Linked DNA regions of Mus musculus: all the other regions are reported to be linked to region 7. The links are microRNA targets in miRTarBase. Many come from high-throughput screens and were not tested one by one. Region 7 holds a microRNA gene; each other region holds the end of a gene's coding sequence.
What was found. Region 7 holds the annotated microRNA mmu-miR-1195 (UGAGUUCGAGGCCAGCCUGCUCA, at 2,555-2,577, shown strand). A microRNA usually pairs through its seed, bases 2 to 8, with sites in the 3' UTR of a target mRNA and lowers its output. Matches are read on the target gene's strand: a 7mer-m8 pairs with bases 2 to 8, a 7mer-A1 pairs with bases 2 to 7 and ends in A, and an 8mer does both.

Region 1: the mRNA of Tor1aip2 is a reported target of mmu-miR-1195. Seed matches in the 3' UTR shown: 7mer-A1 at 877-883 and 8mer at 905-912.
Region 2: miRTarBase lists P2ry4 as a target of mmu-miR-1195. Seed matches in the 3' UTR shown: 7mer-A1 at 1,150-1,156.
Region 3: miRTarBase lists Slc25a51 as a target of mmu-miR-1195. Seed matches in the 3' UTR shown: 7mer-A1 at 2,920-2,926 and 7mer-A1 at 2,949-2,955.
Region 4: the mRNA of Rad1 is a reported target of mmu-miR-1195. Seed matches in the 3' UTR shown: 7mer-A1 at 546-552 and 8mer at 574-581.
Region 5: the mRNA of Slc35e2 is a reported target of mmu-miR-1195. Seed matches in the 3' UTR shown: 7mer-A1 at 1,646-1,652, 7mer-A1 at 1,068-1,074, 8mer at 1,039-1,046, 7mer-A1 at 216-222 and 8mer at 187-194.
Region 6: the mRNA of Thap2 is a reported target of mmu-miR-1195. Seed matches in the 3' UTR shown: 7mer-A1 at 2,388-2,394 and 8mer at 2,359-2,366.

The regions. Positions count from the first base shown.
Region 1 is chr1:156,065,071-156,069,137 of GRCm38, forward strand. Tor1aip2 (torsin A interacting protein 2) reads left to right here. Exons shown (of 7, transcript NM_172843.4): 7 at 1-3,791. The coding sequence ends at 388. Among named protein-coding and RNA genes, the nearest start is that of Tor1aip1, 31 kb to the left of the region's middle.
Region 2 is chrX:100,589,530-100,593,596 of GRCm38, forward strand. It overlaps P2ry4 (pyrimidinergic receptor P2Y, G-protein coupled, 4), which reads right to left. Exons shown (of 3, transcript NM_020621.4): 3 at 625-4,067. The coding sequence ends at 3,676. Among named protein-coding and RNA genes, the nearest start is that of P2ry4, 3.3 kb to the right of the region's middle.
Region 3 is chr4:45,395,942-45,400,008 of GRCm38, reverse strand. It overlaps Slc25a51 (solute carrier family 25, member 51), which reads left to right. Exons shown (of 3, transcript NM_001009949.3): 3 at 1-4,067. The coding sequence ends at 768. Among named protein-coding and RNA genes, the nearest start is that of Slc25a51, 11 kb to the left of the region's middle.
Region 4 is chr15:10,492,864-10,496,930 of GRCm38, forward strand. It overlaps Rad1 (RAD1 checkpoint DNA exonuclease), which reads left to right. Exons shown (of 6, transcript NM_011232.3): 6 at 291-832. The coding sequence ends at 468. Among named protein-coding and RNA genes, the nearest start is that of Rad1, 8.9 kb to the left of the region's middle.
Region 5 is chr4:155,618,459-155,622,525 of GRCm38, reverse strand. Slc35e2 (solute carrier family 35, member E2) reads right to left here. Exons shown (of 9, transcript NM_177186.4): 9 at 1-4,014. The coding sequence ends at 3,777. All of the region lies in intron 1 of Gm16023 (predicted gene 16023), which reads left to right. Among named protein-coding and RNA genes, the nearest start is that of Gm16023, 4.3 kb to the left of the region's middle.
Region 6 is chr10:115,369,211-115,373,277 of GRCm38, forward strand. It overlaps Thap2 (THAP domain containing, apoptosis associated protein 2), which reads right to left. Exons shown (of 3, transcript NM_025780.4): 3 at 1-3,736. The coding sequence ends at 3,350. Among named protein-coding and RNA genes, the nearest start is that of Tmem19, 9.0 kb to the left of the region's middle.
Region 7 is chr17:70,859,068-70,863,134 of GRCm38, reverse strand. It overlaps Mir1195 (microRNA 1195), which reads left to right and starts at 2,535; the gene lies at 2,535-2,632.

The DNA.
Region 1 (4,067 bases), not on the chromosome of region 7:
AGTCAAGCTGCTGGTTGACTTGGAGCTTAGCGATGGGTTTGAGAATGGCCACAAGGCTGCTGTGGTCCACCACTTCGAATCCCTTCCTGCCGGCTCCACCCTGATCTTCTACAAGTACTGTGACCATGAGAACGCCGCCTTTAAAGATGTGGCACTTGTCCTGACAGTCCTGCTGGAGGAGGAAACGTTAGAAGCAAGTGTAAGCCCCAGGGAAATAGAAGAAAAGGTGAGGGATTTACTCTGGGCTAAGTTCACCAACTCTGAGAGCCCCACCTCCTACAGCCACATGGACTCAGACAAACTGAGTGGGCTCTGGAGCCGCATCTCCCACCTGGTGCTGCCCGTCCAGCCCGTCAGGAACATAGAAGAGCGAGGCTGCCTTTTGTGAAGCCAGTCACAGAGGTGACATGGAAGGGCCATGTCTCAGGGCTCTGTCCCGCTAGGAGGTGACTGGCATGTGAGAGGAAACAGCTGGGAGGCCGTCACTGTGTTAGAAAAGAAGCTTTTTTTCTTTGACTTTTAAAAAATCTTTCTAGTCTGAACTTTGATAAAACTAACAATTGGCCTGATGTTTTTCTTTGTTTTTTAAAGCCAATCAGGGTTAAAATACAACATGATGTATTGTTTAAGTGTCCAGCACATCAGTAGAATAGAATTGTTTTGCACAGGAAGATCTGATTCTCCGGGGAACTGCAGCCCCACTGCTGCCTGCAAGGACTCTCACCAGCCTCTAGGGCAGTGCTTGGACCTGGACGAGGTGTCATGTAAATGATTTTAGAGAACTCTTCTACTACATATTAAGTGCTTTTTAATATTCACTTTTTTTTGTTGTTTTTTTCTGAGGCAGGGTTTCTCTGTGTAGCTCTGGCTGTCCTGGAACTCACTTTGTAGACCAGGCTGGCCTCGAACTCAGAAATCTGCCTGCCTCTGCCTCCTAAGTGCTGGGGTTAAAGGCGTGCAGCATCACTGCCTGGCCTTAATACTCACTTTAATAATACACTTGTGGGTTGATTGTGTCTTACACAGATTTGCACTTTGAGTAGGTGAAAACAGAAAACTAGAATTCAACCCTCCAAACCTACCTAAGAGCCTGGTGTGTGTGTGCTTCTGTTCCGTTAGTGAGCTGAGGCCAGAACAGCTGTGCTCAAAAAAGAACCTTCCCAAGCATTGGACTCAATGACGAAATTGTTAGTAATCACCAGAAATGAAAAAATCCCCCTTGGCCATGTCACTTGTCTTTGCCTACCCAGCAGCCCCTCCTTCCTGTGAATCATGCCTGCTCTTGGCTGCTGGGTTTGGGGTTCTCTGTTAGGATTTCAGTGGAGCTGAGTTTCACAGAGAAGTTTGAAAGCCATTGATGAAGTGAAAGTGCATTCTAGAGTAGGAAGGATAGGAAGACATGAAAGGGTTAAAGCTGAGGAGTAACAGGAAGTTCTGTTGTTCAGGGCGACAGAGACCTGCAGATGAGCTGCTACTGGAGGGTGTAGGGCAGGGCCGTGAGCTTTTGTCCCTTTCTGTGGATCTTTCCTGTCCTCCCCTGCTGGAATCTCACTGTTGTCTGTGTTCTTTCAGAAAAGACTTGAGGTCCTCAGCTAGTTAGAAATGCCGTCAGGAAAGGAACTTGATAAACACAAGGGGAAGGTCTCCTGTAGGGAACAGAAAGAGGAATCATGGCCAATATCCGTTGTTAAGCTACATCCCATGATTTCAGACTGGGGCCAATAAGCTGTTAATCAGTACGTGAACTCTGAAAGTAAAACTCTAGTAAAATGATCTTGACCCACAAAAGGTCTGTTCCTTTACATGGATGGGAAAAGCCCTTGGAATCTTGCACTCAGTTTTGGGTCATCTGCTGCTAAGAGATCATGTATACACTTAAGACATTAAGCAACCTGAGTCTAAAGGGATTTTAGGAAACACTAAGAAGATGTCTATTGGTAGTTAAATGGATCACAGAGACACGGGTGAGAGGTGATCTGAAAATATTTCCCACAAGATGGCTTTGGCCACAACCTTTGGTGTTAAGTAAGTTAAGTATGGGGGCACACATGAAACAGTATGTATTTGGGATTTTGAAGGAATCCTGATATAGATTTCAGAAAAGACCCTACACAAAGTTTAAGCATAGTGAATGGAATTTTTCTGTCAACTCATTGTAAAACACAGGGATTGAAGAAAAATCCATTTGCCATTTTTGAATTTTTTTTCTTCTGTATTTCTAGACTTATTTGTTTTGAATGCTAGTGGCTTGTCACATAGCCATGTCTGGCCTGGTGTTTACTCTGTAGCATAGGCTGACTTTGAACTTAGAGTAATTTCTCCTACCTCCGTGTGCTGAGTGCCGAGGCTACAGGTGTGTGCCATCATATCCAACTTTCATGTAAGCTCTTAGCCACTAGCATTACATCGCGTAAAACCACATCAAATCGCGTCAAAAGGTGCCTTGCAGACTGTCATGTTGGCCTTTGACCCATGCTACCTCAGACTCTAGAGGAATGTCTACAGTATTTGTGCACAGTCTATGTCAGTGGCTCAGATCACAAGTGGAAAGCAATCGTTTCCTCATTAAAACTATGTAAAACGACAGCCTTACATAGTTTCCTGTCAACACAAATTTAGGATATAATACATTTTAGAAATTTATTATTTTTCAATTATTTTTGGTTTTTTTACTACTTACCTTGTAAAAATACACTTTTCCTTTTGTCATAAGTGCAATCAGCTGAGTGAGACTTGTCAGTTGTTGTTGCTTTTTTTTTTTCTATCCTCTGTTTCAAAACTCAGGGCCTTAACATTCAAGGAAAGTGCCCTACCACTAACCTATATCCCAGACCTCTTAAAAGTCATTTTGAAAAGAAGCAGTATGTTAGTTTGGGGTCAGAACAAGTAATTTTCTGGTTTTGATACCGAGTCTCTACACAGTCCAAAGTAATGATTCTCAAGCCTCGGGCTCTTACAGGATGGGATTACGGTAGTGTGCCGCCACACCAGCCTATTATCCCGTGTACTGTCTTCTAGACCATTGCTTTTCATATTCAGTTTTCCAGCCTTTTATGTGTGTTGTAATTCTTTGTGATAATTTGCCTGTGTGTGTATGTTTTTTATTGGTGGTGGGGTTTTTTTTGTTTGTTTTTAACTAGGAATCCCTTCTTGAGTAATACCAAGTCTTAGAAGCAAGCAGGGGAAATAGAAACTGTCTTTAGACTTGGGTCTTTCTTTCCCTTTCAGGTAAAATTTAGGGTTCTTCTGGGCACCACTCAGAGATTGTCAGAAAAGCTCTAGAGAGTTCTTAACACTGAACTAATTTTAGTAACTTTTACCTGGAAGTCCGCAGGCTTAGGGGGAGTAGTGAGGCTCAGTACCCTTCCCATTGGCTTATGTGCCCCACCCCCACCCCCAATCACTGTGGCTGATGGTACAGCTTTGTCTCACAGCCTTTGGTCCACAGTCTTGTTAAAGACAGGAGCACTGTGAGCACGGATGTTGGCTATGACAGACAGATGCAGCCTGTGAACACGAGAGTAGTGCAGCAAAAATGATTTTCACCAACACTCTTACTTTCTCTAACAAAGATTTCTTAACCCCATAGAGTTTTGCCTTTATATATTTACAAATGTAATGGCTTGTCAAACTTACCAAATCACCATAACTGCTTTTTGCATTCATTTCCATAGTGATGATGTTGAATGTGCCTTATTCAAATCAATTGTCTGATTACTATACAATAAATCTCTTCAATTTTTCCTGACTGATTTTTTACTAAAATTTCCAAAATAAAGAATTTATGAAAATGGGTGTGCGGTTGTTAGTGGTGGGAAGAGTCAAAAGGATTCTGAAGCATCGGGTGGTGTTGCGGCTGTCAGGGACGAGGGGCCATGCAGGCGGTGTGCTGGACTCCTCCACCACCCTTGGCAGTGGCTGTGGGGCATTTACCCCCACCTGGCTCTCTCTTGACCAGGGGAAGAGTGAGCACAGCCTTGGGAGTGGTCCAAACATGAGGCTTGCTGACTGGGGATGTATTAAGTGTGGGTGGGGTGTCCAGCATCTTGTATGTTGGAAAGTAGGAA
Region 2 (4,067 bases), not on the chromosome of region 7:
GCAATGTCAGAACTCGGTGAGCTAGGGGAAGAGTGGAGTTTGTCAGTAACATTAGAACCTAGGTAGTTTAAGAAAGGTGTCATGAATAGAAATGAGCAAGAGTAGGAGAACTGGTTTAGGCAGTTTCATTTTTTTAAATTACGGGTTAGAAGCAACAGTGGAAGATCTAAGTGAACCTGTCCAGCAGTCAGCTGGGTTTGGAGAGACAAAGGTTCTGGCCTAGCACCAAGTTGGCATGGTAGAATGAAAGGCATCATGGGAAATACCCGCCACTATGGAGAAAGTCACAAGCACGGCATTTCACAGGGACTGTTTCTTCAGCTAGAAAATGAAATGGAACCCAAGCTCTGGATGATCTCTGAGGTTCTTAAGGACTAGAAGTCAATTGACTTGTATTTACCTGCTATTTGTTCTGTCTAAGAGGAAATAAACAATCTGATAATCCATAGAGGATTAAATCACCCCACATGGCAAGAATCGGACAAAAAGACGGCAGCAAAGGAGAGAGGGGAAGTAATCAACAAAAAGCAGAAGGAAAGCGATTCTAAATCTAGGGAATGAAACGAAGGAATAAAGCATTGTAATAAGTGGGTTACATAAGTCAAATATGACCAATTATAATATACACATTAAATAATATAATATTTCAATAGAAGATAAGTAGTAGTTGAAAAAGAATGCAAATAGTAAACATGGGAGAAAGTGTTCAATGCCATAGGTAAGCAAAGAAGTGAAATTAACAAATTGAATGTTTCTCTTCCAGAAAGATTTCCCATAAAGTCTGATGCTGGAACAGCAATGGAACTAAGCTAGCCATATATCACTGTGACAGTGAAAATGTATGCAGTCATTGGGAAAAATCACAATCCATAAAAATGTTCGTGCTCTTTGGTCTGGTAATCTCACTCTTGAGAACTTGTACTAGAGCTAGAATTGCAAAAAGAAAAAAGTCACAAACAGGAAAATATTCAAAGCACAGAAAAACTAACCTACCTAAGTGGAATAATAATAATAAGGGAATAGCCTATTAAGATATGGTCTACCAATGGAAGTAAGTTTATGTAACTATTGGCGCACGCCTTTAATCCCAGCACTTGGGAGGCAGAGGCAGGCAGATTTCTGAGGTCGAGGCCAGCCTGGTCTATAGAGTGAGTTCCAGGACAGTCAGGGCTACACAGAAAAACCCTGTCTCAAAAAAACAAAAAACAAAAAAACAAAAAAAACAAACAAAAAACAAACCAAAAAACAAACAAACAAACAAACAAAAAGATTGCATCAACCTGGAGAAAGTTTGCAATAAGAGGATTATACTTATTTGTTTGTTTTGACAAAAGGTCTCACTATGTAGTCTAGGCTAACTTCCAGTTTATAACCCTCTTGTGTCTACTACCAACTCTTGGGATTATAGGCATACATCACCAAACTCTAAATACCCTAAAAAGCAGACTTTTAAAAGATATAACTGTGGTTATACTTCTATAATACATGACTTCAAACCAAGAAAATGTTGAGTATGGAAAACAGAAATTTGGGGTTGAAATAGGTAAATATTTTCTCTCCACATTTCCTTCAGTGTTGTCACAGTGAGGTTATTTTAAATGTTATTTTTATATTTAAAAAATACCTATAAAATTACATGCAGTAGAGTCAAGTGAAGTAGAGGTCAAAGAGGGATAAGAGTAGAGAAAATATTAACGTTCTTGCCAAAGACATAATTTGTGTTCTAAGTGCCAAAGAATGGGAGGAACTCAGATTTGTGTTTATAGCAGTAGTGAAATGAGGAGACACTAACAGAACTGTGGCAAAATGAGACAGCAAAGTTGTGTCTTTTTTTTATATGGTGATATAAAATCAGTGATGAAAGTAACTAACAAAGATGAAGACAAAGGAAAAAAGGAACAAGGTCCCTCATTAAGGGGCCATGGGGAAGAAAGTGATAAAGACAATGCAGCACAGGTACGCAGATTGGAATGAAGCATAGAGACACTGAGGTGTTTACCCAGCCTGCTAGCATATGTCTTTAATCCCAGGAATTGGGAAGCAAACCCACAAAAAACAAAAAACAAAACCAGGTGGATCCCTATGAGGTCAAGGTCACCCAGGTCTCTGTAGCTAGTTCTAGGCTAGACAGTGGTACACAGTGAGATCTTGTGGAGAGACAGGGGAGGATAAAATAGCAAACTATGAAGTCCAGGAAGTTAGTCTTGACTAAGCAGCTTGGAGTTCTGGGGCCCAATGATGGAGGAGCTTGAATGAGTTGTAATGAAGAGAATAACGTTACCACATGGAGCCTATGGCTAGCAGCAGTGACGGGCAAGGAGATTGTGCTCATAAGAGTGGGGACCTGGTAAGACTCAAAAGGGCCCCTTAATTTACTTCTAATAGAAGAACTCTTGTGCTCCAAGGGAGAAAGATGTATTTAAAGAACAAAAAGAAAGGCAGAGGGGCATTATGATTTAGCTGTTTTACTCTGTAGCCTAGTACCTCCCTCCCCTACACTCCAGACAGAGAGAACACTTGAGGCCAATAAGAAGTTGGTGTGTGTAGATGAGTAGTGATCACAAAGAGCAGCAAAGGTTGGGGGCTGACTCAGAAGGCCAATAGGCTAGCAGGTGACTTTCACAGGAAACGAGGCTGAAAATGAATGCCCGCCCAGAAACTCTTTCTTCTCGAGCTCAGGGTTTAGCTTCCTCTGCTCCATACACCCACCAGATCCTCCAAACCCATAAGTGTTGCGGCAAGAGGACTGAACAGGTAGGAAAACTGAGTGCCCCACCCTAGCCTTGAAATCCTTGAAATCCTATCGCCTGATTCAAAAAGATCTGGTGACAGGTTTATTTATGCTTTATCTAACTAGAGCTAGGAAAGGGAAGAGAGCAGTGAAGAGCCAGTTCTGGGCGTCTACTCCTGTTACCACCCGGTTCTGCACAAACCTGCTTTGCCCATCACTAGGAGAGCTTGGAGGTTTTCTTCCTTCTCAGTCAGAGCTGTCCATTCCTCCTCTCATTAAACAGGTGGGAGCTATCAAGTGTGTTCTCCCGAAGTCCTAGAGGTAGGTGTAATCTTATTCCTGCTTCCAAGGCTGCTATCAACCTGGACCCTGCCTCCGGAGGTTCCTTAGGGTCAGCAACCAAGAGCAGTATTCTGTTTCATGGCTGCTCTGCAGTTAAACACCAGCAGGCTTCGAGAGGGTATGTAGGGCCCTGCAAGGCAGGTTCACATGCCCTGTACCCTATTTCAGCACCTTGACAGGTAGGACTATCTTGTCTTTGAGAGGGAGCCAGGAAGTGGGTGTGAATGCTGCATGTGACTTATATGGTATCTGTGCTATGCTAGTACCCCAGCTTCCTGGTTCTGCCTTGTTTCATGATACACATCAGGCCCGTCTTGAGATTGCTCTACCTTCACTCCTCTAGTTGAAGTCACTACTCTGGTTGAAGAAACACATGCTGTGGAAGGACCTGGGGGAAGCAGAACCAGCAAAGAGTACTGAGGTTTGAGAAACGGGAACAGTGGCCCCAGGAAGGGACAGAAAAAGAGAAAGAAGCATAGGAGTAACTACTTCAAACTTTGGCTTAAAAAGAGGATAGCTGATGCCCCTATCAACTGTCACTAAGGAGCTCCCTCCCCTCTGCCTGCAGTTAGTCCCCTTCCTGTCATATCCAGTGCCCACTGTTATAATCGGTCACCCTCATAAGCAGGGAAGATGCTGTCTTGGTGGATGTCCGCCCACCTGCTGATGCTTTCTTCATGTAGGGTCACCAATGCCAGGGAGGAAGCAGTTGTTCGGCGCTTAGGTGTGCTACCTCTGCATAGCTGCTGGAGCTGGTTTCGATACTTGTCCCCCGTGAACAGATAGAGCACTGGATCAAGACAGCTATTAGCACTGGCCAGGGGACGAGTCACTTTGTAAACCACATTGACAATGTTCAGCACCCGGCATTCGGCGTTCAACAGTCTTGCCAGGTAATAAATTGTGCGGGTGATGTGGAAAGGCACAAAGCAGACAGCAAAGACAGTCAGCACCACAGCAATGGTGCGGAGAGAACGGAGCCGAGAAGATGACT
Region 3 (4,067 bases), not on the chromosome of region 7:
AACGTGGCGATCACTTACCCGGTTCAGAAGATCCTCTTCCGGCAGCAGCTTTACGGCATCAAGACCCGGGATGCAGTCCTGCAGCTGAGGAAGGATGGGTTCCGCAACTTGTACCGCGGAATCCTGCCCCCGCTGATGCAGAAGACGACCACGCTGGCACTTATGTTTGGTCTGTATGAGGACCTGTCGCGCCTGCTCCACAAGCACGTGAGCAGCGCTCCCGAGTTTGCCACCCGTAGCGTGGCGGCGCTGCTGGCCGGGACGACGGAAGCCATTCTCACTCCATTCGAAAGGGTTCAGACTTTGCTTCAGGACCACAAACATCACGATAAGTTCACAAACACTTACCAGGCCTTCAGGGCGCTCAGATGCCATGGGATTGCAGAGTATTACCGAGGCATGGTGCCCATCCTTTTCCGGAATGGGTTCGGCAATGTCCTTTTTTTTGGCCTTCGAGGGCCCATTAAGGAGAGCCTGCCTACTGCCACTACATACAGCGCCCACCTGGTCAACGACTTCATCTGTGGAGGTGTACTCGGGGCCGTGCTGGGCTTCTTAAGCTTCCCCATTAACGTTGTCAAAGCTCGAATACAGTCTCAGATTGGCGGGCCATTCCTGTCTCTCCCCATGGTCTTCAAGACTATCTGGATAGAGCGGGACAGGAAGCTGATCAATCTCTTCAGAGGTGCACATCTGAATTACCACCGCTCTCTCATCTCCTGGGGAATAATCAATGCCACTTACGAGTTTTTGTTAAAGATTGTATGATGAAATCATTATGTGAGATGTTATTCTCATCTAACTAGACCTAAGGAAAATGCAATTTGGCTTTGTTCCTAATTGGCTTAAGTACAGTTTGGTGTCCAAGACCAAGCCATAACTTGCAGACAGAGCACTGACAAGAACAGAGTCCAGGTTTCAGTGGGCAGGTGTCAGGGTTCGGGTGTGGTCATTACTCCAGAGCTTTAGGCTGCTGTTGCCCGGGAACCAGCCTGCACCGCTGGGCTGTGGCCTCCGCAGCCAGAGCGCGTGCTTCGCCCCCAGCCCGGGGCATCTCAGGCTCATTCTCACCTCATTTACTTTGTCTCTGCTCTTAAGAGGGCCATAATCATTAGACCCCAGCTCTGCACGGAGGACTGGAGCAGAGGTGCCACTCAGTGCCATGCCTGAGCTCCATGATGAATGGTTGGGGTTAGCTTTGAAATAAGTGCTGTTGAGATAGCCGCGATCTAAACTTTCTGTTCACATTTGATAGAGTTGAGCAGCTAATGAACGCTTCCATTTTGCTGTTTGGCTTTGAACACTTTCTGTTTAATTCTGAGTCTGACTTTAAGCCCTTCCAGAATGTCCTTGTGCTGTTTTTACTGAATTCATTGCCAAAAGATAGGGTGCCCTAGTTAAATTCCGTTGTGTGCTTCATCGTGGTAAGCTGGTCACTGCAGGCTCTGCTATTCTGCTTGCTTCTTTGTGCTACTGCTGTCGACAGCCAACCAGTGAGGACACTGTCCCTTGTGAATAGTAACTGTCATGTCTGTCCTGCTCTCTGGTACTGGACTTTAAACAAATAAACACTTCCATAAAGTTTTATTTCAGGGGTTTTAATGCAACCCCAAGTCTTCTTTTTTTCTGGTTTCTCAGTGCTACAGAGTGAGCTAAGGAGTGGAGGGTGCTTCCCCTCTGGCCGCCCGTCTCTTTCTCTGGGAAGAAAGATTTCAGGGTTCTGCTACTCAGGAGCCCAGTTGCCACTGTGCCGTTTAGGAATGTCTGCTCTAAGTAGCAGCCCTGACTTCTGGTCAGGTAGGATCCAACTGGCAGGAACCAGGCCAAGGAGTCACATAGCTATTTTCTGGGTAAATGCTGTAATGGAAATACCATCAGTCTGGGAAGTAGCTTAGAATTTTCAGGAAGCTGTCTGTGACCACCACCGGTCAGCTTGGTTCCCAGGAGTCGACATAAGCAAGTCAGTTTCTTTGCTTTTTTTTTTTTTGTTTGTTTGTTTATTTTTTTAAATGGTGCTAGGGATTGAACCCAGGGCCTTGCACATCCTAGGCAAATGCTGTCCCACTACACTCCAGCCTTCCCAGTTTTGGTTTTATTTGGTTTTATTTTATTTTGAGACAGATTCTCAACAGGTAGCCCAGGCTCGTCTTGAACTCTCCTGGCTCTGCCTTCTGAGTGTTGGGATTAAAGGCGTGAGCTGCCGGACCTGGCATCCCCAGTCCTTAAGAATAGGTTCCTTCCTCCCTCCCTCCCTCCCTCCCTCCCTCCCTTCCTTCCTTCCTTCCTTTCTTTCCAGAGCTGAGGACCTAACCCAGGGCCTTGCACTTGCTAGGCAAGAGCTCTACCACTGAGCTAAGTCCCCAACCCCAAAGATAGGTTTCTTACTAAGTTTTTCATTGGGTAATTGCGTGTGTGTGTGTGTGTGTGTGTGTGTGTGTGTGTGTACACCTATGTACCTATAAACTGAAATCAGACCCTCAGCTGCAGTTTGAGAGAAGTTTCTGGGGAAGGTAATCCAAAACAGCTCTTTAACTACACTGAAGCTGGTTACATAAAGCTACCATCATCCAGCTGTAACAGTTGGGAGCCTGGTAAGCATTGGGGTGGCAGTAACGGAGGTCAGCGGCTTTGGAGCGACACTGGTGGAAGTGCAGTGCGGACATTAAGGGGCAAATGTGAGGACTCGGCAGACAAGAATTTGTCTGAGATACATCTGAGTACTACTGTCTTCAGTTACAATTTGAAGGTGAGAAGTCTCAGAAACGAGAGATGGCGCCTTGGGTCCTGACCCCTGTGTCCACGTGCAGCATTGCCCAGATGCAGCACAGGGGAGGGGAGTTAACCAGGGATTATACTTTAATTTTTGTTTGTTTTTGTTTTTTCGAGACAAGGTTTCTCTGTGTAGCCCTGGCTGTCCTGGAACTCACTCTGTAGACCAGGCTGGCCTTGAACTCAGAAATCCACCTGCCTCTGCCTCCCGAGTGCTGGGATTAAAGGCGTGCGCCACCACTGCCCAGCCCAGGATTATACTTGGCCTTGTTTTCTTTACACTCCGTGCAGGTGGCGCAAGTGTCGGCTGTAAAGCGCTCCTTTGAGGGTCACCAGGCTGTTAAGGGCAAGGCTTTGGCTTTGCTGACTTAATTATGTGACATTTTAAAGCAAGATTAAACTTCCTAATGCTTTTTAACTTTTAAACACTTTGTCACCCTTAGAGCTCTTAAAGACTAGATTGCAGTGTATTACAGAGGTGGCTCTGTCTCTGATAAATTTAAGTTTGACAAAAATAAAATCAGAGCTTGTAATCCACTTTGAACTTCTATGTCAGAATGTAATTAATAGTCTTAACTAGTGCGGTGATATTTTTTAAAGGCAAAAAAGACTAAAGAACTCTGAAAAGCTTTAAAGTGGCCTTTGTGTTACATGTGTGGCACAGGTGGCTCATGAGTGCAGGACACGAGTGTCCCGTGTGTCCTGTCTGATGCCACTAGAAACCTACGAGTTTTGCATTTAACACACCAGTGCTGTAAACCCTCAGGACGGTAGCAGGGTCAACACAGCCTTTGCATTGTGGCAAATTGGGGTTTTGCTTCCTTTGTGGTTAGAGACAGATGTTTGTGCCTATCAACGTTTATCTTGTGGTTGGTCATATAATCACTTGCTATATATTGTGACCCTGTGCAATGAAGCAGAATTGTACATACATAGTATTATTTGAGTACCTGAAATTCCTAAGCTCAAAGACAATATAGATAAACTTGTAAGGTTTAGAGGGCTGGCCTCGTGTAAGTGGTTAATAGAGAGTGAACCCTGGTTTGAGGGTGGTGAGAGCTGGGTGGATGTGGTCACCGCTGGGCCAGACTGTTGCCAGGAAGGCATTCATGCTTGGGTTCCTTATGTCAAATGTATTTTTTCTCCTATATAAATAAATGCATATCAAAAGCTTGAATATGTTCTCTCTAGATTTAAAGATTTTTTTACTTTTTTATGCTCTTTGTATAAACTTAATGCTCTTTGCTTGCCAAACTGCTGAGGAGGTGGGTCTGCATATATTTCTTCTTTTCGTTATT
Region 4 (4,067 bases), not on the chromosome of region 7:
GTCAGTTCTCAATATGAAGGCTACATTGTTGATCAACAAAGTTAAGTACCAGAGTTCCATACAAAAACTTTTAATCTGTTAAAAAAAAAAGTACATCGCATTAAAAAGAGTAGATGGTTGGCACTAGATTTACTTGGGGATATTGGGTTGTAATCGCGGGTGGATAAGGCAAGAAATCCAGCACCTCGGTTAAGTACTTGCTACTCAGTACTAACTTTTGTCTTTACTTGGTGTTGCATGCATGGCATTTAGTGGATCCAAACAACGGCCTTTCCTTTACTCTCCCACAGATACAAGCTGTCGCTACTGAAGCCCTCTACAAAGGCACTAGCTTTATCCTGTAAAGTGTCTATCCGGACAGATAACCGAGGCTTCCTCTCCTTACAGTACATGATTAGAAATGAAGATGGGCAGATATGTTTTGTGGAATATTACTGCTGCCCTGATGAAGAAGTTCCTGAGTCTTGAATAATTCACTGACTATTTCTGTCTTTTTTTTTTTTTCTTTCACGAGACAGGGTTTCTCTGTAGCCCTGGCTGTCCTGGAACTCACTTTGTAGACCAGGCTGGCCTCGAACTCAGAAATTCACCTGCCTCTGCCTCCCGAGTGCTGGGATTAAAGGCATGCGCCACCACGACCGGCGAATATTTGTGTCTTTATAGTTGGCGTTCTCACTCTAACTCTCTAACCTTGATGATTTCATTTTGGATTGTATAGAGAGATGCATGGAGAAAATAGGAGCAAGGTCAGTCCCATTCTGTAAATCTGTAAATAGTTTTTATTTTGTCAATAAATTTTTCATATAGCCATAAATTATCCGACTTACTGTACTGTCCTGTGTCTTTTGTTCTTTTCTTTTTTAAAACTGTGTTCATGCCGGGCATGGTGGCGCACACCTTTAATCCCAGCACTTGGGAGGCAGAGGCAGGCGGATTTCTGAGTTGGAGACCAGCCTGGTCTACAGAGTGAGTTCCAGGACAGCCAGGGCAACACAGAGAAACCCTGTCTCGAAAAACCAAAACAAACAAAAAAAAAAACAAAAAAAAAAACCCTGTGTTCATTGTGTGTGTGTGTGTGTGTGTGTGTGTGTGTGTGTGTGTGTTTGCTTACCTTGGATGTATAGGCACCGCATGTGTGCCTGGTGCCTGCAGAGTTCAGAAGGGGCATTTGATGCTCTAGAGCTAGAGCTACAGGTGGTTACAATCCTCCATGTGGGTTCTGGGAACCAACCCCTAGTCCTCTGAGGTGACGACTGAGCCATATCTCCAGCATTCTCCTTTCCCCCTGACAACCTTCCCAACTTATGGGAATCAGTGAATCAACATGAATACATTGTGGTTTTTCCACTTAAGTAGATTTTTTGTTTTGTTTTGTTTTGTTTTGTTTTTTTCCGGTTTTTCAAGACAAGGTTTCTCTGTATAATAGCCTTGGCTGTCCTGGACTCAATTTGTAGACCAGGCTGGCATCAAACTCAAAGATCCTCTGCCTCTGTGTACTAGGATTAAAGACATGCACCACTATGCCCAGCCTAACATATCTTGAGAGTCTATACAAAGTTGGATGGAGCCATATCCGATATGTTCTTTTCTTTATATAATAGTATACATTCCAGGTACTAGATCTTTTGTTTTGTTTTGTTTTGTTTTGTTTGAGACAGGGTTTCTCTGTGTAGCTCTGGCTGTCCTGGAACTCACACTGTAGACCAGACTGGCCTCAAACTCAGAAATCCGCCTGCCTCTGCCTCCCGAGTGCTGGAATTAAAGATGTGCACAACCACTGTCTAGTCAGATACTAGATCTTAAAGCTGAGTGGCTCACTATCACACCAGTGTCAGAACTGTCTTGAGACTTGCTAGTGGGGAGAGCAATGTTTATTTTCTCAAGCTTCCTCCAGAAAATTCTGATGTTTGCCAAAGTGTGAAAAAAACAGCTGAACCACAGTTTGAGAGACTATTCTTGCTTTTGTTTTATTACATTCACCTCTCTCTCTCTCTCTCTCTCTCTCCTCTCCTCTCCTCTCTCTCCTCTCTCTCTCTCCTCTCTCCTCTCCTCTCCCTCTCTCTCTCTCTCTCTCTCTCTCTCTCTCTCTCTCGACAGGGTTTCCTGGCTGGACAGGTGACTTCACAAATGATTTGAGTTGAAGCATTCTATGGTTAATTTTATTATTGTTGACTTGGTTTTAAGAGTTTGTTTTGTTTGTTTTGAGACAGGGACTCTCTACATAGCCTTAGCTGTCCTAGAATTTACTGTGTAGACCAGGCTGGTCTCGAACTCACAGAGATCCACCTGCCTCTGACTCCTGAGTACTGGGATAAGAGGTGTACTGCCCTGGCCTTTGTTCCTTTTTGCTGTCTAACTGGCCTTCGAGGAGCCATCTTAGATCTAATGCCCTGGACCATCAGGACTCTTGGAGGACTCGCAGGAGCCTGTGCTGTCTTGCTCTCCATTGCACTTTTTCCTTCACAAGGTTGGCGTCCATATCCCCCACACAAAACAAGCCATGTTTGTATTTCCCTGGGTAGTTTTTACTAAAATAGCTTTTGTGGCAATAGATTTTTTTTTGTCATTAACAAAACATAATACTAAAATCATATGATAAGCCTTCTCAGTAGAAAAAATATGTCTAAAGTGAAATTTCTCTTTTCTATGCTAGACACTAACAGTCACTGATGGTTTGGGGCATGATACTTGGGGAAATAATGTTACTCTATTGCAAGATGTGTTTAACATTCCTAAAATTATCTCTTCCGGTCATTATGACTCCTGTCCCCAAATAAAAGTACCCAAGGCTACTGATGGTTGAAAACAGCCAGTGGAAGAATACAGGTTGAGTTTTATAAGTTTTTAGTTTTGTGTTTTTGAAGTTTATATCATTTTCTTTTTGGAAAATTTTGCTTGCCAGAAATAGGTAAACAAACAGCCTTTTTTTTTCTCTTTTTTTAAACCTTGTTTATTCCCCCATTTTATGTTTCTACCTAGAATTTATTTAACTACTCAAAATAGACTAAATAATTTCTTAAATTATACTTTTTTAAATCACAGAATTTCGGATGTAAAGTATTCCTGTAAAACATGGTTGCAGCTACCTGAAGGGGTAGGCTATGATCCTCTCAGCGGTTTGGAGTGGACTCTTTCAGAACGCGATGGAGAGCAGGAGGTGGCTCAGTGGGTAAACGTGGTCCCTGTGCAAGCTTGACGAGCTGCCTTCCGTCCTAGGACTCGGAGAGAAAGCTGGATGCAGTGCTGTGGAGCTGTTAGCCCAGCACCCCGGGGCCAGATGGGAGGTGACCAGAATCAGCACAAAGTTTGTGGTCCTGCTAGTCTGGAGTACACAGCACAACAAACGAAAGAACTGCCTCAAAAAGGGGCAGAGGGATAGCCCAAACCCTTGAAAAGTCTGCAGGCCTTCACACATGTACCGGCATTCAGTTTACTGCAGGTTTTTAAATGCACAGACCCCGCCCCTTCCTACCTTCACATTTCCTGTTCCTCGTCACCTGAAATATAAATCAGGGGACTGAGCACATGTTGAGCAACTGCTGAGCCACTGAGCCTGATCCTCACCTTCCAGTGTTGCTTTTAATCATGTCAGGGTATATGCACTTCAATATGCTCATTGATACCACAACAGACCTCCGTCTCAGGGAATAGATGCCGCAGACCCTCTGGGCCCCTTTGTCTGCGTGGAACGGGTCTCTAGTCTCAGGTGGGCAAAGCGTCGAATAAATTGACAGACAGATGCACACAGGAGAGGTTGTGTAGTATCTGAATGTAATGTCAACTCGAGTATCAGACTTTTTATACAGAAGACAATAAGGAAGTTGGGTGACATACAAAGAAGTTTGGGTACAAAGAGGTTTCTGGATTCTTACATAAAACAGAGGAATGCAAACACAGAAGGTCTAACAGGAACCACCTGGGATAGAATTCATTGTTAACAACTGGGATCAACAAGGGCTCCACCTAAGATTCACTAATCTTAGAAGTCAGGCTCAAGGGCTTCATGCCCTTGCCATAGTTCCTATTTTAGTCTATTGTATAGTCCACCTTCCCCTTAGGTCTTTAGT
Region 5 (4,067 bases), not on the chromosome of region 7:
ATCTAGAGTTCAAGGACACTATGGGTTACATAGGTAAATGCAATCTCAGGAGGAGCCGGCATTGTTTCCCATCTGTACTAACATCTTTCTTTACCCCTTTCCAATGTTAAGAAGACATCACTTGCTGGGCGGTGGTGGCGCACGCCTTTAATCCTAGCACTCGGGAGACAGAGGCAGGTGGATTTCTGAGTTCGAGGCCAGCCTGGTCTACAAAGTGAGTTCCAGGACAGCCATGGCTACACAGAGAAACCCTGTCTCCAAAAACAAAAAAAAAAAACAAAAAAAAACAACAAAAAAAAAAAGAAGACATCACTTGGACAGATGTGACAGGAGGCTGTGCTGAGCATCTGTTATTATCACTGAGCAAAGTGATCATCTGAGAGCAGGATCACAAAGCCACTTGTTTTGTGCTGTTTTTAAGGCACAAAGTAAAGTTTACTTGGCCGAATCCCTTGAACAGCTTTAATTCTCTTTAATCTCCTCTGACTCATCATTTTTACTTTTCTTGAGACAAGGTTTTTCTGTGTAACAGAGCCCTGGGGGTCCTGGATTTGGCTTTGTAGACCAGTCTAGCCTCAAACTCACAGAGAATCACCTGCCTCTGCCTCCTAAGTGCTGGGATTAAAAGTGTGAACCACCATCTGAAGACAGATGATAATCCTAATATTTGAGAAATTGTGATCATAAACATTTTTTTGAAACTTGGTCTCAATATGTAGCCCAAGCTGGCCTTGAACCACTATGCACTCTTATGCTTCCAAATTACTAAGATTATATGTATGTGCCATCATGATCGGGTTTAAAAACAAACAAAACAGGAGCTGGTAAGATGGCTGATCTTCAAGACGACCCGAATTCAATTCCCAGGAGCAACATGGCAGCTCATAATTATCTGTAACTCCAATTTCAGGGGATCCAACACCCTCATAAAGACACACATGCAGGCAAAACAATGAATTAAAAAAATACTTTCCGGCCGGGCAGTGGTGGCGCACGCCTTTAATCCCAGCACTTGGGAGGCAGAGACAGGCGGATTTCTGAGTTCGAGGCCAGCCTGGTCTACAAAGTGAGTTCCAGGACAGCCAGGACTATACAGAGAAACCCTGTCTTGAAAAACCAAAAAAAAAAAAAAAAAACCAACCAAACAAAAAAAAAACAAAAAAACCCAAAAAACAAAAACGTTTCCTTGTCTTTTAGTATTAGAAGTTTTGGGGTTATTTTTGTTGTCTCCCCTTTATCTTTCTGTCCCACATCTGCTGCTGGTGATCAACCCAAGAGCTTCACAATACATGCCAGTGATGTGCCACTAAGGTATACCCCAAATCATGGACGTTTTTAAATTTTATTTATCTATTTATCTGGTTTTTCAAGACAGGCTTTTCTCTGTGTTGCCCTGGCTGTCCTGGAACTTGTTCTGTAGTCCAGACTGCCCTCAAACTCAGAGATCCACATGCCTCTGATTCCCAAGTGCTGGGATTAAAGGCTTGCACCACCTCCCCTAGCAAATGTACTTATTTTTAAGATATATGTGTGTGTGTATATGTGTGTGTGTTCATACACAAGCCAGTGTGCAGATGCCCAGAGAAGCCAGAGGCATTAGAATCCCTAATGCTGAAGTTATAGGAAGTTGGTGAAACACTCTACATGAGTTCTGGGAACTGAACTTGGGTCCTCAGCAAGAAACATAACCACTCGGCCATCTCTGTAGCTCCTAGAACTATTTTTGAAATTAGAAATGTGTATATCTTTTAACTATGCGTGCAGTGAGTAAGCAGCTAGCTGGCTCAGAAGGTCAATCCAGTGTTCTGTTTACAACAGACCAGACAATGACATAAACTCAGGAGGAATTATCCAGGACAAGGAATGACACGTGGTGTCAATATTTGTACATTTACATCAGTAACAATTCATGAAGAACATAGTATTCTATGAAAGTACTAACAAAGTCAATTAAAAATGTATTGTTATGGTATAGTCATAACAAATGGTCAAGCAGGGCCGTTCCACGATTCTCAACCCAGCCCTGTCCTGGAAGACCTGAAGGAAGCAGCTGATTCCATGATCTTTCCACCTATGAGGAAAAGTCTCAAAGCAGCTTTAGAGAAAATTGCTTTAAGAAAAATCTTTGTTTTTGTTTCTAGCCCAAACCTTAAGAAAATCAAAACAAGCTGAGTCTTGTGACATGGGGGAGGGATGGCCAGAGCAAGTCACAATAGGTCATTTCCTAATTAAACATAGGACACAGGCAGAAATTCCAAATAATAGTAAGAAGCCAGGCATGTAGAGCTCTGAGCATACTTAGACAGGTCTGCGGGAAGGCCAGAAGAGCTCTGCCAACCAATACCCACAAGCACGTGCTCTTCGGTGTCAGCAGCTCCACAGCCAGATCTTGAGCAGACAGGTCTACACAGATTAATCCAACGTCTGCCATCTGTCCTCCACTGGATCTTTATTTTGAGAAGAGCAAAGAGGAAGGAACTAGAAACCTGGGCAAAGTCAAATGAGAGAACATCTTCACAATATCTTTACATAGCATAGTAAAGATACACCTAGCTGATGTCCAGCACACATCAGCTTCTTTTAAAAGTTGGCTTATGGATTAAAAGGCCTCATTTTGATCCATCATCATGGCAGATGGCTTTTTCAAGTAAATAAAATGTAGACATAATTATTGCTCTTTTTCACCCCATTATCTTTTTGAACCACCATGTGCACGAAAGACTTAGAGCAGGGAGGACCAGTGAGACCTGGACAAGGAGTGCCAGTGGCTGCAGCTTGTAAGTAATGGAGTCTTAGAGACTGGCTAGCAACAGACTGCACCCCACACACAACTCACAAAATGCCGAATAATGTAGAACCTCAGCGTGTTAACCCAAGGCCCACTGTTGTCCTCCACTCCACCTTAAGCTCTGGAGACCTGGTGGCTCAGGCAGTCATCATATGATCCCTGGTGAAGAGTTAGTTGTGCATGTACACTTTGATGTACCTTACATGGAGACACAGAGAAACCTCGACAGGCACCTGCTACATCAAAAAGAAGTGTCCCTTTAACTACAGCATAGCCTATAAACACTCAAATGCTCGTCAGAACGTCCCTATCAAGCATCCTGAAGGGAAATCTTCATAGGGCAGCCACTGTGCCATTCAGAATCGCCCGCTTCACATTCACATACTTAAAATGGAAAAGCACTCCAGACCATCTGCTTGAATTAGAGATTTGCTGCCAACTTCCCAGAATGGGCAATCACAAAATGGTAGCAGAAACATGGGACAACAACCCTGGAGCAGGGTAGTTCAATGTAGCACAGGCCAAGGAGGAGACACTTCTCCTTCACACAGCACTGTCTCTCCGTGGCAGGAGAAACTTGTCTCTTCTGCCTGCTACTCTGGGTTTTATGGCTCCATGCTAGAGTCATTGGCATCTGGAATGTCTGTTTCATAGACTGTCAAGAACCAAGAGGCTTCCATGGTGGTGGTGGTGGTGGTGGTGGTGGTGATAGAAAAGTTTAGGTCTCCTGGATGGCATCAAACAGACAGCAACTCGGGTTGATCCTGGAGCCTGTGCTTATTCCACAGTGCAGGCTGGGCACGGAGACACTGGTTCACTTGCAGCCAGGGAAGCTGTAGATCATTTGGTCCTGTGGTGCTCTGCCAGGCAGAAGCTGAGTCCCAAATTCCCCATCTGATTTCCAGGAAGGAGCGAGAGACCTGCCCTGCATCATTTCCCTCTAGTACAGAAGGAACATCTAGGCCTGGATCTACACAGCATCAGGTGATCAGTGGTGCTGTCTAGAGTCCTGGGGAACAAGGGGCTCTGTGTCATCTTCTGGGTTTCGGCTGGTGGCTGTGACCAGACTCTGCATAGTCTCCTGCTGATACTGCCTGGCCTTGTTGTAGAGCAAGACACCCAATGTGACAAGGATGGTGCCAATGGCAGACAGGCTAGTGATTTTGTTTCCAAAAACGATGATGCTGAGCCAGATAGACAAGGCGTGCTTCACAGTACTGGCGACACTACAGCAGTAGAGATAACAGTCAGACTCTGGGTTCACACCCACACAGGGTAT
Region 6 (4,067 bases), not on the chromosome of region 7:
CTTTCCATTGAGTTTCAACTCAACAGCGTGTACCGAAGCATCTTACACCTATTTCGTTCATAGAATGCATCTCATATTCTAATAAGCACCGTTCTTTTGGGAGGCTTGCAGCAACCGAAGGGTAGCCAGTGTTGTATTTAACCCCTTTTGGGTGTTGGAGTTTGAACCTTGGGCTTGATGCATGCTGAACAGGACACATCTCCCAGTCTAGTATTTGTCTTTATATCAAATTCCTAACCTTCAGCTGTGTTTTTGTTTTTTCGTTTTGCTTTGTGAATGTTAGTAGCGTGTAGACAAACTGGACAGATAGAAGATCTGTGAGGTCTGACTCAGATATTACTGTTGTAATTCTGACAGGTTTGTTTATTTTCCTAACAAGGTCTCAAATAGCCTAAGCTGGCTATTTGAGTTTTGGGCCCTCCCACTATTCCTCCAAAGCACAGGAATTAGAGGCATTTGTCCTCTGGCTTCATCAGGCCTCACTCCATCAGTTTTCTGGTTTACAGTCAACTAAATAAATCTATCAGCACACTGAAGGCAGGATTGTAGGATTCCTTGAATGTTTTTAAAAGCCTGGAACTCCTGCTTCCCCACCTTCACTTCCTTCTCCCTCGTGGCTACCGTGACAGATGTGTGTTAGCTAGGCAGCCATTTTAAAGGTGGACAGATGTGTTATTGATACAGTCATGTAAAGAGGCTTTGCAGCATGCTATTGGGAAAATAACATGAAGAAAACAGGCAGAGAATTACATTTACTGAGAGGATGGTTTATTCAATGGTGTCCACAAATAGTGAATGAAAAAGACTGGGGATGTGGCTCCGTGGGAGCGTATACATGCATGCGTGAAGCCCTGGGTTCAATTTCCAGCACACAAACAACACAGCCCAAAGAAACTAAAGGCTGATGATACTGAATGAAGACTATGCAACTTTGCCAAAAGTGCTTGTATTTTACAATGCTGTACATTTATGATTTAAAAAAAAATGTATTAAGATATCAAGATACAAACCCTAGGCAGACCACATGAATTAGTGGTTGGGGCTTGGGGAACATGGTAAACCATATGAAAGTTTACATTTCAAGAGCATAGGTTATGTTAATACGATTAGTTACCCAGCTTATTTTAGGCTATCAAGTAGGTACACTCAGTGTATTTGCCGTGGATATTTGAGATAATATAAAGACACATGAACCAGTATTAGGAAAAAATATACAATGACAAATTTAAGGAACTTTACCCAATACTTAAGATAGCTACCAAGGGTGATCACATCTACAAAAGAGTTTATAGAGTATTGGTCATAAGTATCACATGAAAACTAAGAGAGCCATTTCCCACCCTTATGTTTGCAGGGAAGACAATTCTTACTAGACAGTGCTGGTTGCTGGGTGGGACAGAGAGGAACAGCCCAAGAGATGGCAGAGAATTCAAATTCCATCTCTGTGTAGGAAAGGTTTACAGTCACGTGTGATCAGGCATGTTATGTTCATATGGTAAGCTCACAAACTTGAAGAAGAACTACATAACTTATGTGAATACACTTTTACTTACTTAGCCACAGCTTTTTGAAGGAAGGGCTCTTATTTTGAAGGGAGGGCTCTTATTAGACTTTTAGTGACACAAGGCCTTTTCAAGGTGCAAGTGGTTCCAGAAGAGCGATTTTGCTATTTCTATTTTATAAATATCAGCATTTGCATAGCTTTATCACAGAGACACACATTATTTTAGAGGACTGTATTTTATTTCCATTATGAATTAAAGTTGTTTCAATTATCCAAAAAAAGGGGGGGGAGGGGTTAAAAAGCAAGCTGATGGAGTAAGATAAACTGAGCCTGTTTTAACTTGACACTATTGGGTTTCACACCCAGGACAAGTGGCGGAGGTGCATAGTTAGCGTACCAAAGTGGACCTGGGCTCCAGGTCCTCTCAGCTCCCCCAGGCCCTACCTGGTACAGGGCATGGATGCCATACCCCGCCCTCTATGCTGAACTTCCCAACCTTAAAACACCTTCTTAGATCCTCAGACACTTTCTTAGAAGCTTTCCCATCCTCAGACATGGATATGCAGCAGCCAGACCTGGGTCTGAAATACAATATAGTTATGTAGTTCCTTGGGATTAAATTATTCTGTGATTTATTAAGGAGGGAAAAGCTATTTTTGACATTAAAAAAAGGTAATTAAGAAGTAGTCACAGCCGGGCGGTGGTGGCACACGCCTTTAATCCCAGCACTTGGGAGGCAGAAGTCGTCACAAAAAAGAAAGATCAGTTTAAGAATTTGCTGTCAAGTCAGGCAGTGGTCATGATGGTGCACGCCATTAATCTCAGTACTTGGGAGGCAGAGGCAGGCGGATCTCTGAGTTCGAGGCCAGTCTGGTCTACAGAGTGAGTTCCAGGACAGCCACGACTACACAGAGAAACCCTGTCTGGGGGGTGGGGGGGAAGGACCAAAAAAAAAAAAGATTTTGCTATCAATGCGAGGAACAAATGGGTCTAAAGTGTTTATTAACATATCAATTATGAAGATGGAGATTCAAAATCTTTATTATAAGAGAAAAAAATAATGTACCTTTGTCTATTTGTTTTGTTAGGGTAAAAGCTAGACTTCCAATTCTGCATTCTTTTCTGTATATTTTCTTAGACGTTGACTATAACTCACTGGGTTTTCCCAGTCTGAGGTGCTTGGGGCCTTACCTAGTTTGGAGTTTCAAAGGTATTTCACATTCAAAATACTATTTCAGATTATTTTACAACCTACTTTTAAATTCAATGTTCTTATAAAAAAAGGCCATGATAAGTTTACTTTTACTAGTTAAAATACAAAAGGCTAAAAAAGACAAAAAACAAAACAAAACAAAGAAACAAACCTTGCCCCGTACCCCAGAGGTTTTATTCTATAAAATTTTCAACCACAATCCCAATAATTTAATTCATACAAAATACATTAGTAGTTTTAAGATCATATTTAATGCAGTTAGCTCCTACTTCACATGTTCTTTAGAATGTAATATCCCAGCTTTGGTGCGGAATGCTTTTACTTTTATGAACATATCACTTGTCATTCCTATTTGACAGCAGCTTAAAAAAACAAGAGCAGAAACCCTGCTGGCAGTGTTTCCTAAGTCCGTGACCCTCATGTAAGGCACTTCTGCTCGGTGTCAAGCTTGTCATTGGATTTCCCACTTCCTCAGTCTCCAGAGAGTGACACTGACACTACTACTTCAAGTAAAACTGCAGGACTTGATTGTAGTGTAACTGTCAGAGTGCGGTGGGTGGGGACGGCAGGAGCTGGGCACTGGGTTCTGTGTGAGGAAAACTTGAGTGCAGAGAGTCTCTTCCATTTTACATTTAGAGAATGGGTACTGTTTTATCTTGTTGATCTTGTTCAAGACTTTTTAAATCTTCCAGAGGAAGATTGCTTAAGGCAGTTGGTAAAATCTGTTCTGAGATGCCCTTAGGTAGCATGTTACTTGCTTCTAAGCTCTTCACAAAGCACGTGGCTTTGATCCACCTTCGAGTTGCTCTGCGTTCTCTTTGCAGGCAAGTTTTCATTTTTTTTCTCAAGCTTGCTATTTCCTTTTCTAGTTTAATTATCCTTTTTTTCGCCTCCATAGGGTTCCTAAAGGCATAACTGTGTTCAAGCAGTACTTGCTGACTGCCGTTCAGCTTTAAATTACATGGTCCAGTTGGAGGAAAACTGTTGTTTGTCTTCAGAAGATTCCTTGACTTGAGTTTCTGAGCCGAACAGAGAGTTTAACATAAATTATGAATACCACACATAAGTAAACAGTGACCAGTTTTGAGTAACACAGTATTTAACTCATCTCTAAAGACCTGCTTTTAAGGTTTACCGGGTAACAGCAGCAGGCTAGCTCATGTGATCATGGCTTAAGGGTCTCAGTAGGTTGAATGAATGCGACTCACCTTGTGCAGTTCTGGCTGCCGGCTTGAACTCAAAGAGATCCACCTGCCTCGGCCACCTGAGTGCTGGCATTAAAGCCACGTTGCCACTGTGCCTTTCTTATGCCCTTTATCTGCAGACTTACTTAAACATTGATTTTAAAAT
Region 7 (4,067 bases):
CCTCAGGACCTGGCAGCCCTAACAAGCTAGGTGTGGTCAGCTGTCCACCGTCACACAAGGGAAGGGAAGAAACCAAAAGCAGAGAAAGGATGTTTATTCAAAATGGCCACACTGGGGAAAGGAGCAAGCAACAATACCCAGTTCACCTTCTTACCCACTGAGCCACCCCGTCAGCCCGACCCTTGAGATTCTTGTAACAGTAATATATAACTGTAAAACTAAGTAAGACTTCTATAACCTGATATTAAAAGCATTTTCAATTACATAATCATTATATATTTATATTATACATAATATTATACATAATATAAATATTATAACTGCCAGAAATAGAGCCCTAAACACATACCCAGAATATAGAACACACAGGTTTTGTTTTAATTGTTGTTTTTAGGACAAGATCTCATAGAGCCTAGGCTGGGCTCCAAACCTCTGTGTAGCTAAGTAAAACCTTGAATTCATAATCCTCCTGCCTCCAGCAGTGACTACAAGGTGGGCAGAATCTGTGGGTTTGACTGGTGTCTGGGTGAACTTTTCACTTAGTACGGATTTCTGCTAAATGTACAAGTGCAAGAAAAAAAATTGTAGAGTCAGAAGAATGAGAGGCACAGTGTGGGACACAATGAAAAACACTCAGATGGGGGCTGGAGAGATGGCTCAGTGGTTAAGAGCACTGGCTGCTCTTCCAGAGGTCCCTCGTTCAATTCCCAGCACCCACATGGTGGCTCACAACCATCTGTCATGGAATCTGATGCCCTCTTCTGGTGTGTCTGAAGACAGCAACCCTGTACTCACATACATAAAATAAATAAATCTTTAAAACAAACAAACAAACAGAAAATCACCTAGATGTATTTCAAGAGAGCGCCAGTCAGTTGAAGAGTGTGGAAGGCAGAATTACTTGAAGTAGGGATGTTTTGTCTTTAAACCCCCAGACCAAAGGGAGGAAGCAAACAGGAGTTAGTTACCAGTGGCAGGTAGGGCTGTTCTAGCTTGCTATCTAGGACTAAGTACTCATTACCCTGAGGTAATGGGACTAAGTACTCATTACCCTGAGGTAATGGAAAGCAGGTTGCTTGTGGTTAGAAAAGAGGGCGCAGATATGAGAGGCGGGGAATGGAAGGCAGTGCTGTGTTTGCTGAAATTGGAAGCACAAAATAATGTGGGCCCCTCCTTTCCTCCACTACACCCCATCACACACATACTCTTGTTTTCACATATACTCTTACCTAGGTAGCCCAGAGTGGCCTCAAATTCCAAATTCCCATGCCTATCTCCTAAGTATCAGAAGTATAAATATATAGCTGTTAACCATTGTACCCTGCTTGAATTCATGATTTCCAACATATGAAGGTGTGTGTGTGTGTGTGTGTGTGTGTGTGTGTGTGTGTGTGTGTGTTTAGTTCTGCTGAGAAACCCAGAAGTAAGCAATCATGGTTCAGTAGCAGTGCACTAGACTGGAGCTCATGTTGATGTCTATAAGTGATTCTCTTTTCTACAAGAATAGCCAGCACTTGCTGGAAAAATGATCAGTCCAGGGCTTGGGGACTGGAGCAGGGGAAGTGTAGCATGCACCTGAGACACGCCACTGTCCCAGACGGTAAGAAAATCTTCCAAGAATGGTACAAGAGGACAAGGAAACCGGTTTGGGGACTATTGGTGCTGGCTGCTGCTGGGGCAGGGACAGTCACTGCCTTCAATTGTGTGTTCACTGGGTGAGTCTACCAACTTCAGCGAATGCTTCTATACCCAGTGGCACGTGAACCACTGTGGTTAGACTCAAGGGGTGCAAAACAAGAAGGCATGAAGGGGCTCGAGGGTTGTGCAGAGGTTAAGAGCACCTGTTATTCTTGTAGAGAACCCACATGGGGCTCACAACCATCCAAACTGCAATTCCAAGCATCCAATGCCCTTTTCTGGCCTCTGCAGGTAGCAGGCACACATGGGGCACATGAGTACATTCAGGCAAAACATGTAATATTAAAAAAGAGAGAGAGAGAGACATGAACATGTCAGAGGGACTGGAGGGGAAGATGAGAAGACAGGGAGAATAATCAGAATGCACTGTGTATATATCAAATTGTCAAAGAATAAATTAATAAAAAAACAGTTTGAGGAACTTCCTCTGGGTAAATCCAAGAATTTTTACAATAGTGGTGGTGATGATGATAATAATAATAAGAGGCTATTAATGCACTAAATAAACCAGGACTCCAAATGTCCTGTAAGTAGACAGAGCAGCACAGACAACTGGAGGGGCAGCTCTCCCTACCATAGGACACAGCAAAGCAATGGAGAAGGAATGATGGAGTGAGGAGGCTGAGATTGAAGGCTTCAAAGACAGGACATTCACCTATTTTGATACATTTGATAGATTTATCAACCATAAAGGAAAACATAATGCCCACAGTGGAGAGTTTGGGACACATCACCTTAAACATGAGATCAAGGTTATAAATAAATAAATAAATAAATAAATCTGCCAGGCAGCCGGGCTGTGGTGGCGCTCGCCTTTAATCCCAGCACTTGGGAGGTAGAGGCAGGCAGATCTCTGTGAGTTCGAGGCCAGCCTGCTCAACAGAATGAGTTCTAGGGCAGCCAGGAACACACAGAGAAACCCTGTCTCAAGAAGGTAAAAAGTAAAAAAAAAAAAAAAAAGAAAAAGTAAAAAAGAAGAAGAAAAAAGAAAAGAGAGAGAGAACAGTCTACATTCTGAGGGGAAGCTGTAGTAGCTACACAGTATTGAACACCACACACAAGGCTTATACACACGACACAGTCAAGCCTGCATTATTTGTAGAAATTTAAAATGTCAAGCTAAAAACTTGTTTCTATTCATGAGCACAATGTTAATTTCTTGCCATTTAATGAAGATGCCCTCTTGAGATGGACAGACGGCAGGACAGTCTAAAGCACTGGCCTTGATTGGGTGCACAAGCCTGACTGAGCTCAGTTTGATCCCCAGCACCCACTCGAGTACAAGGGTGTGCCACGGTAACCCAGTGCTCTCAGAAAGAGATGGAGAGTGGAGACGGAGAATCAGCAGAGCTTGCGGACCACCTAGGCCAGAGCACTACTCAGTGAGAAGCAACAGAAGAGACTCCATCCCCCAAAAAAGGTGCAGAGAGAAAACAGACTCCTAAAAGCTGTCCCCTGACCTCCACATGCCTGAAGGACACCTCCCATATCTCTGTGTGTGTGTTTTACAGAAAAAGGAAGGAAGGAAGGAAGGAAGGAAGGAAAAAATATAAAGGTTTTTGTCTTTTTGCCCATGGTCACTTGAATCATGAGACAAAATAAAATTTTCTTCCCTTAAATTGCTTTTTGTGGAGCCTTTGGTTACAATAACTATCCAATTCCAACCACAGGAGGAAAAAAAAATGTGTGAAGATTCGAGTGTATTTCATCAATCAAACAACACAGAACAAACTGAGCACATAGTGTGTCGGGTGCCAGCAGAAAGAATAGAAACGCACATTGAAGAGTAAGCCTGCCGGGCGGTGTTGGCACATGCCTTTAATCCCAGCACTCGGGAGGCAGAGGCAGGCAGATTTCTGAGTTCGAGGCCAGCCTGGTCTGCAGAGTGAGTTCCAGGACAGCCAGGGCTACACAGAGAAACCCTGTCTCGGAAAACCAAAAAAAAAAAAAAAAAAAAGAGTAAGCCTGCTGGAGCAATTTTTTATCTCTTTATTAACCTAAATAATGGGTTATTAGAACTAAAAGCATTAAAGTGCCAACTAGAGATGAAAAGTAATTGTTCTCTCTGGAGAAACATTTAGCCTTAGAAGCAGAAAACAGCAAAAGACAATGGGGTGTATAATTCTGGGGTGACCAGACCTGCCTCTGCCTCCCAAGTGCTGAGATTAAAGGCATGCGCCACCACTGCCCTGCAGACCCAGCCCTTTTGTGAGTAAGTTCAGAGCTACAGATCAGACAAGCTAGAACATTAATCATAACTGCTGATCCAGAAGTGATGTGATGTCTGGGGTTTATATCAAACAATAGAAGTAAGCAGTAGCTTGTAGATGAAGGAAGACAGTTCAGGGGTCCAGAGTACACACTGGCTT